2 linked regions of the Coturnix japonica genome follow. The protein of the gene in region 2 interacts with the protein of the main gene of each other region in a pairwise test. Links are inferred from orthologs where the notes say so. Each region holds a gene or a part of one and is shown on either strand. Other genes may lie near its edges. The genes, in order: PARVA and MOCOS.

The links.
Region 1: the proteins of MOCOS (region 2) and PARVA interact in binary tests that used the Homo sapiens proteins (3 or more experiments, as listed by UniProt). The two-hybrid records come from large-scale screens. The link is inferred for Coturnix japonica from reciprocal best matches to the Homo sapiens genes MOCOS and PARVA.

What each region holds. Positions count from the first base shown.
Region 1 is NC_029520.1:12,241,966-12,245,781, forward strand, and holds part of PARVA (alpha-parvin), read right to left. Parts: intron 3,343-3,816; coding exon 3,241-3,342; intron 2,466-3,240; coding exon 2,393-2,465; intron 1-2,392. UniProt on the Homo sapiens protein: Plays a role in sarcomere organization and in smooth muscle cell contraction. Required for normal development of the embryonic cardiovascular system, and for normal septation of the heart outflow tract.
Region 2 is NC_029517.1:46,080,123-46,084,698, reverse strand, and holds the start of MOCOS (molybdenum cofactor sulfurase), read right to left. Parts: upstream 2,901-4,576; 5' UTR 2,763-2,900; coding exon 2,651-2,762; intron 1-2,650. UniProt on the Homo sapiens protein: Sulfurates the molybdenum cofactor. Sulfation of molybdenum is essential for xanthine dehydrogenase (XDH) and aldehyde oxidase (ADO) enzymes in which molybdenum cofactor is liganded by 1 oxygen and 1 sulfur atom in active form.

The sequences.
Region 1 (3,816 bases), on a different chromosome or scaffold from region 2:
TCCTATGCTATTACATCGACCCACAATGTCAGAGGTGGATGTTGGTGGGACAGCAGTAGAGGTTGAACCTTTCCACCAATATTCTGATACATGCTGTTGCCGTGTGACAGATGGCAGCAAAGGGGCACTCTGACAAAATGGTGCCTGGCACTGAAGGGGAAAAACCTTCACCCACTGACATTCAATGACACTTGTTGAATGCGTATGGAGACCAAAGAGCAGAAGTGAGCACAGTAAGGCGGTGGGTGGTGCGTTTCAGCAGTGGCCACCGAGGGTCACCTCCACTGGTGCAGACTTTTACAAGCGTAGCATGAAGGTTGTTATTTGTCACTGGTAAAAATGCACAGTTAACTGTTGGTGACTATGTTGAAAAACAGTACTGTTGCTGAGAATTTTCTCTGTCTGATAGTCTTATTGTGCTTTTTGTAACTGCTGTAGCTTCCATGAAAATAAATAGGAGGCATTACTTTTGGAGCAGCTTATGTATTAGGCACATGGCAAAATGACATTCATGGATAAAGGTTGAAAATAGACAAACCCACATTTCTTAATGAGATTATGCACAGTCATGAAATCACGGCCAAAAAGTTTTGTGATTCTTAATAAATCAGATAAAAAAATGCTTGCTACAAAATGAAAAAAAAAAAAAAAAAGCCAAAATCTACAGGAAAGGCATTTTGCCCCACAACATCACGTTCCACTTTCTAATACTGTTCGTATATAGCTCAGGAAGTTCCTTCTTTCATGCTGGAAGCAAGCTGCACAATGCTTTCATTTCCTAATACAGAACTTCAAATGAATGATCAGACACATCCACAAGTCTCTGCAAAATTACCAGATGATTCCATCACCAGAACAGAATTCCAGAGCAAGGTCCACAGCAAAAAGCAAAGCACTCTCAGAAAAAGAAGAGTTACTTCCATTGCTAATTGTATTTGACTGGTGTGTGTAACATTTTACTGGTTAAAATTTTCAAGAAGCGGAACTGAAGTTTGGCTTTGATTTACATGTCTCAAGAAGTAAGCTGAAAAGCTCAAAGTGCAAATGAATTTGTTATAGACTCAGTAGATTAATGTTCTGGCCATTTTTAAAAGTAAAAGGTCATGGAAAGCTTTATAATACTCTTTCAATTATATTGCAAACAAGCCAAATAAACTGTTGACCCCATAAAAATCATTGGTTTTCATACTCATTTATTTAGCCACATTCTTTTTTCCACTAAATATGTTTTTCATATTCTGAAGCACTTTTCAGCATTTTTTTTTCCCCCAAGAACCTCAAAGAAACAGTGTAGGAATTTAAAGACTATTTAGTCTATGCATTTGGGGTAAAATTCTTTTCAGTGCTCCTTTGCTCACTGGAAATTTTATGTATGGGCATTGTGCCCAATGTAACAACACATAAAACAGAAGTGTTTTTCCATTCACATAGGGCAGGAAGTTTCATATTAAGCATTTCAATAATTGCACAAGAAATGTCTTATATATGCTGAAATATCCTTATGGCTTGATTTATACTGGAAAAATTAGCTGTCCCCTGGAGCAATAAATACCCCCAAAATTAAATGCCGTAAGAATTTTAAACCTCCACAGGGAACAAGGGATCACAGATATTCTCTATTTTACTTGGGTCTCTAGATTTCACTCTTTTCCTCTTCTCTCTTTGACTGTTTCAAACACAGAAGTTTGTGACACAGTCACCACTGCTGCAGTTAAGCATGATTGTTAAGCAATCAAGAGAAGTGATGAAGTAGGTTGGATAGATGCAGATAAAATGCATAGGCAGCATAGGCTTAGTCCTGAGACATGACTCTGTGCACATGCCTGCTATTGGCACAATTTGGAGGTCAGGAGGAATGGAAAAAAAAGCAGAACAGAGCAGAAATTGATGCACTGTGTCAGAATCTCCAGTGTCCTTAATATATAAGAAGTCTAAGCATCAGTTTCTATCACTCCTGAGGAAATAATGATCCAATATTATGGTAGGAAAAGACTGCATCTTGAAAACACATACATTAATTATGGTGGTAGGTAACCTGCAGCACCCAGCTACCACCATTGGAAAGAGCTGCACAAGCTGCACATCCAGCTCCTCCATGGCAAGAACAACAGAAACCATACGAGTGCCTTATACCACATAGAATCAAGGGTCCTATATAAAGCCTGAAAAGCTGGATTTAAATCCTGTATTTATATAAGTGAAATGGAATCCTGGTCTTGCTAAGGTCAGCAACAAAACCTTCCCCTCCAGTCACCTGATGCATTAACATCACTCTAATGCATTAACATCTTAACCTTTATTTAGTTGTAGCAAAACCCTATGAGATCCAGATTTAACTCAGATTTTTTAAAGATGCGCAAAAAAAAAAAAAAAAAATAAATCAAATAGATACCTTCTGGTCTTGGCTTTGGTTTTTCCAGTCCACCATCTTGCATTAGCTCAAATGCAAAGGACACATTGAGGACCTAGTGATATGATACAGGTAGTTGTTATGATCTAGACAAAGCATACTAAAAAAGGTCAAAAGAAGATGCATTTAAAGCTGCAGATCTATAATCTGGGAAAAAAAAAAAAAAAAAATCAAGCCTCCATATATCAGTACAGACAATCCTTGATTTTGGTTTTTTTTTCTTTTTTTTTCCTGAGTGGTGACAGTGTTTCAGAAATACAAAAGTAATGGAAAAATAGCATGTGAACCGACATTACACATAGAAAAAACAGTCCCCAAGTTTACAAATCAGAACATGATGGCTTATGTGGTGCGCATCTTAGATAACTGAATTGCTGAGACAGCGACAGACATCAGTGGTCAGTCTTAAAATGATACACAGTACATATAAATCTTCATGCTTTCAAAAAATACAAAACTTTTGAAATGTCAAATTCTTTGACTTTGAGCTGAAAAAAATCAGTCCCGTCATCAATTTGTGTATAATTTTAATGAACACTGAGGCTGGCTCAGTGATAGCACCACGCAATGGTTGCCAAAATCAGTTAATATTTGCTAGATGCCCTATCATTAATGTAATTATCCCTTTTATTCTGAATAAGTATTAACACTGAGATTTAAAAAAAAGAATGCTTGGAAATGGTTACCAGTTCAGACCTGTTCTCTTTGGTTTTCAGCTACCAACACTGAACCCATACAGAAAAGTCAGCATCATCCCTAAAACAATTCCTATGTTTGCTAGGGAGGTTTTTGTTTTGTTTTGCTTTAAGAGAAAAAGGGAATCTCATTACCTTTTGTTCAAAACTATCAGGAGTCAAGAAAAAGCTGTGGAGAGGAACAAAATAGCCTTCTAGGAGACCCATTAGCAGGACTAAGTACACACCATCTGCAAACTGTAAAAAAGACATTTCTCAGTATGTTTTCTGAATACACGCACAGAATAAAGTTACTGCAGAAAGCAACGGTCAGTGACATTGATCTGCGTTTTTGTTTTCTCTTCTGTTAGTTGCAGGAAATCAGAACAACCAGTTTTCAAGCTATCAAACAGCATGCATTCTCTGAGCGGAGAAAAGCACAACCAAGGTGCAGCCTGATGACTACATTGAAATTCAGGATGTTGAAGGAAATAAAGGAATAAAGAATGATAATTTTCACGTTCTACATTTATCTCTATTTAAAAAATAACAGCATTCATGAGACTTCGTTCAAGGCATCTCACTCGTAACCCTATGGCATTGTCTACTATAATGAAACTCTGAGATACCAGAAGGAAACAATCATCTGAAGGGAGACGGTAAGCGAGGTGGGTGTCAGTCTCTTTCCTCAGGGATAAGTCACGAGGAAATGCCCACAAGTTGCACTGGGGA
Region 2 (4,576 bases):
CTCTGAGGAGAACATTGGCACAAAACTAAAACTAGAAAGGTATCTTGGGACTAAACACTGCACCACAAATCACGTCAGCTTTTTATTCTTTTTTTGAAAACATGCAATAAACTGAAGCTGCTATTTTCTTTGCTACGATAAAAATCACAGAAGCATATTTATTCCCATTACTTAACAACAGAACCTACAAACTCCTGCTGATTTCTTTATCCATTTCTAAAGCACAATTTACACTGCAGATAAGGGTGTGCTCTTCACAAGATTAAAGTCAAGGTCACGTACTGCACATGCACTGCTGCCTGTAAAACTGGGATCAGTTTCGCAGACTCCACATATATTTTTAGAAGGGCTCGCTCAAGCCCACAGCTAACAGCCCCTCAATTATAAACGTGAAGATAAACCTTGGATTAAAAGGTAACATTTAAGGCTTCTGTAGCAAAACAGACAGACACAGCCCTGCTGATTCAAGTCATTCCTTTCATCCCTTCAGGGACTCTGAATGGAAAATCCCCAACGCAGTTTATAAGAGCCTTCTGATACAGTCAAGAACAGACCTCCCGTGGATCTTGGTAACATCACAAGTGGACCACCTCTGAAAGAAAAGCCTGGTTTCACACTATGTCCAGCAGCTGGTGTCCCTGCACAGATATACTATATATTACTCTGGGCAGACTCTTGGGCTGGGTTTATATTAGAGCTACAACAGAGGCATTACCACCATAAAGTCAAAGCTGTATCACAAAAGGAAGGTTTTTCCTTTCCCTAGAAAGCACCATTTGTACAAGATGTCCTCAGTGAACATCACCAAATGTCAGCAATTGAGAAAATATGAATATGCTGACATGCACTAGGCTTTTTTGCTATGTCTATATATATGTCTATAAACCGCTAGCACTTCAAATACAGAACTTTGGGCTTAATTCACAGCCACTTAGACAAGGACTACAAAATTTCTGTTCCCAGAAGTCAGCAGCAGAATTATGATTATTATATAACTTCAACAACGGAACCATCTTTGATACACATCCCAAACAAGCAGTGTAAGACACTGCAATTGACTACTTAAAACCAGTATCTGGTTGGTAATGCTCTTAACCAGGAGGGATTAACTGTATGAAGGTGTTGCAGCAGTTTGGTAGGCGTCCAGCAGAGATTAAGACCCAGAGCAGCTACAGGGTCCTTTGAGAGTCAGCCATTTGTACAGTCAGGATTTATTCATAAAGCTGACCTGAAGCCAGCAACGATCCAAGACTCCTGCCTCATCTCCAACACATTCTGGCAGGTCACTGAAAATGAAGGAAGCCAAGTGCCTGAAACACGCACTGATTTCTTAGGTCACTCAGAGAAGGCCCCTATACTCACTACTACTGCTGCTAACCTGTATATCAGCCAACTCCACCTTATTTCAGCAAGGCAACAGAGACCTAGAGCTTCAAAAGCCATTTGGTGGCATCCACAGCAAAGGTGTTAAGACCTTTAGCAAATCAAACTCATCAGCTCTGGACAGACAGACACATAAGACAGGGGATATCTAACCTTACATGTTACTGCCATTTCGTAAAGACACAAGTTCTTGACTACAGGAAAGGTGACCCCACTTTTAACTCAGGAATACCAGGTAGGACAATACATACTGATTGTCATTAGTTAAGGACACTGTTCTTCCTGATTGATACAAAGAGCTTTCAAGATGAACGGACAACTTCTGAACAAAACATTACAATCTTGAAATATATATATATTTGACTCAAAAAATAGTATTTAGAATAAAAGCAGACATTCAAAAGTTCTACAAAAGGTAAAAGGAACTTCAGAAAGCAGCACGACTGAAGTACAGCTTGGTAGACTGGCTAAAACACTTATAAACAAAGGTAAATATGCTCTAAATTCTTTGCTTTTGCAGTGACCTCTAGCTGGGCACCAGGCACATCCAGCAGGCATCACTCACCAGCAGCTATGCTTCATCTCAAAAACAAGGAGTCTCATGAGAAACAAGACTGACTTTCAGGAGTTCTGATGAGCCATCTGTTTAAATGTCTACATAACTTCTCACTTATTTTTCAGAATCCTGGCCTGAATTTGCCATCAAGTTTCCCATCATCCAGCCTTCTCTGATGCAGCTAGCATTGCTGATAATTGAAAACAGCTTATAGACTCCTAGCTAACAGTGAAGTTCATCAGGTTGCTGCTAAAATTTAGCTCTTGTGTGTGATACCTGTGCTCAGATTCTATCATAAGATCTCCATGAAATGCCTTAAAGAAGCATTCGTGGGAAACCCTTCACAGTAAGACCAGCTTAAGCATCAAGTCCAGGACACCCACGCTGATGTTATTTACCCCTCTCTTTTTATATTTTTCCTTAAGTGTTTTGAAATGCTAAGATCGTGGGCATCAAAACCTCTCTTTACATGATTTATCTTAGCAGACTCACTGCACCTGACTTGGAGTAACAGGTGCATGCACACACAGGCATTTGTGATGGGAGAGCCACAAAGCCTGCAGAAGTCATTCACAAAGACCCTTCAGCCTCAAACCGTTCCCAGACAGGGCTGTTTTACCATCTGAGCTCACATTCTCAATTAAAAACAAAGAAACAAACCTTTCTCTTTTCAAACCTTCCGCTCAACCCTCGGCCCCGCCCCCTCGGTACCTCGGAGCCGTGGGAACTCGCGCTCCCGGAGGCCGCGCAGTTCGCTTCCGTACTCATAGCCGGCTGGGCAGCTGCTCTGAAAAGCCCGGAAGGAGAGCAGCTCCTCGGCCATGATGCGAGCTGAGGCGGAGAAAAGCGAGGAGGACACAACACAGCGTTCAACTTAGTCCGGACGGCCGAGTCGAGCCACCCGGCCGCACTCCGGCCTGCGCTGCTCCCAGCCCGGCTCCTCCCGCCGCCCGCCCCCGCGGGGCAGCACCCGGGCCCAGGCCCGCCTGTCCGGGCTTGGAGCCCCATAGCCCGCAGTGCCAGCGCCTGCGTGGGGTCGTTTGCTCCCTGATCCTTAACACACAGCTTTAAGCAGAGCCAATAGGGATAGCCTCACTTAGTTCATAGAAAACTCTTTTCCTTAGCATCAATCTTTTCCTATTTCCCCCCAATACTTTGGCTGCTGCTGAGCAGCATGAGGCTCACGCTTCGTGTTTGAAATCTTATAACTGCTCCGTCCTGCTGACTTGAAACAGACACCATGCGCTCAACATACAGGACCTCAGCTGGCCAAAAGCAGTAGCGTGGAATTGGCAATCAGATATCTGAAAGCCTTGCTCCGAGGCACTGAAGTGCATCTCTGTAATGCTAAAAGTAGGTTCATCCTTGACTATTCATGGATGTGGTAGGTATACCAACACAGGTTGTGTCTCATTTCTGAATGTCTTCTTTCGGGACCTTGTCTGGATATTATGATGTTCACAACACATATTACATAAACAACTTAAGCATCCCAAATTACATTAACTTCTTTGCTCTGAGGCCTGCATGTTAGGCAGCCTAAAATTTCAGACTCACCAAGTTTAATGTGGACAAAACCAGTACCTCACAATTACTACTTCTGCCTTCAGCACACCTGTACTGCTAGCCTCAGTATTAATGCACTGAAGGCCCTGCAGGGAAAGAAAGGGATTCTTCTTTCTCTTTGTATCTAGTTCCTGAACTCGCTTGTCAGTTTAGTTCTGTGAGGAAAGAGTCACAAGAATCAGGAGCTTGATAGAGGAGGGGAACCGTAGCCAATTCTCCCACTGAAGAAAAAGTAGGCACTTCCCAGTGCTCAGAGCACTACATGCTCTGTCTGAAAGGCATTAGGCAACCTGCACACATGAGGTTTTGGCGTGGTCACAAGGCATGCTGCTCCCTTCTGGTGTGTGTGACAGAGTGCAAGTTGGAGTACTAAATATAAATATTATTATTATAAATAGAAATTTATAATAATAAATTATTTATTATTATAAATATAAATATAAATCCATGTGAAGCCAGGTTTTATTTCTACCACTGTTCACAGAATTTTAAAATACATTCAGAAAAACAATCAAGACAATTCTTATCAGAGCGGTAGCAAAAGAAACGGAGGAGGAAGGAAATGAAAGAACCCAAATGCAAATTCTTCATTGTAATTAACAGTTTAGCTTAAAAACAGGTGTATTCAGGAAACTGTAGGAGCTGCATGCAAATCTGAAAATTCTCTTTGGGGGAGAAAAGGGGCCTGTTTCATGTTTTTCACATGGAAAATGGGGCTTAACTGCTACTAAAATGCTGGTGATTGTTTTCTGATACTACATCAGGAACAGCTGTGCATTATCTGTCCATACAGAGAAGTTTTGCCAGCACACTCACCTGAAAGCTTCCTTTAATATCCCACAGACACCATCTGAGACCAAGTCTGCATCTCTCAAATACATACTTAGTTCTTTGCTGTAAGTACTTAGTTCTATCATAACTTTGTCATAAGATGACATATAGCCTCATAAGTCTTATGAGGAGCAGCTGAGGGAGCTGGGATTGTTTATTCTGGAGAAGGTGAGGCTCAGGGGAGACTTCATCACACTCTACAACTTCCTGAAGGGAGGTTGTGATGAGGAGGGGCTTGGC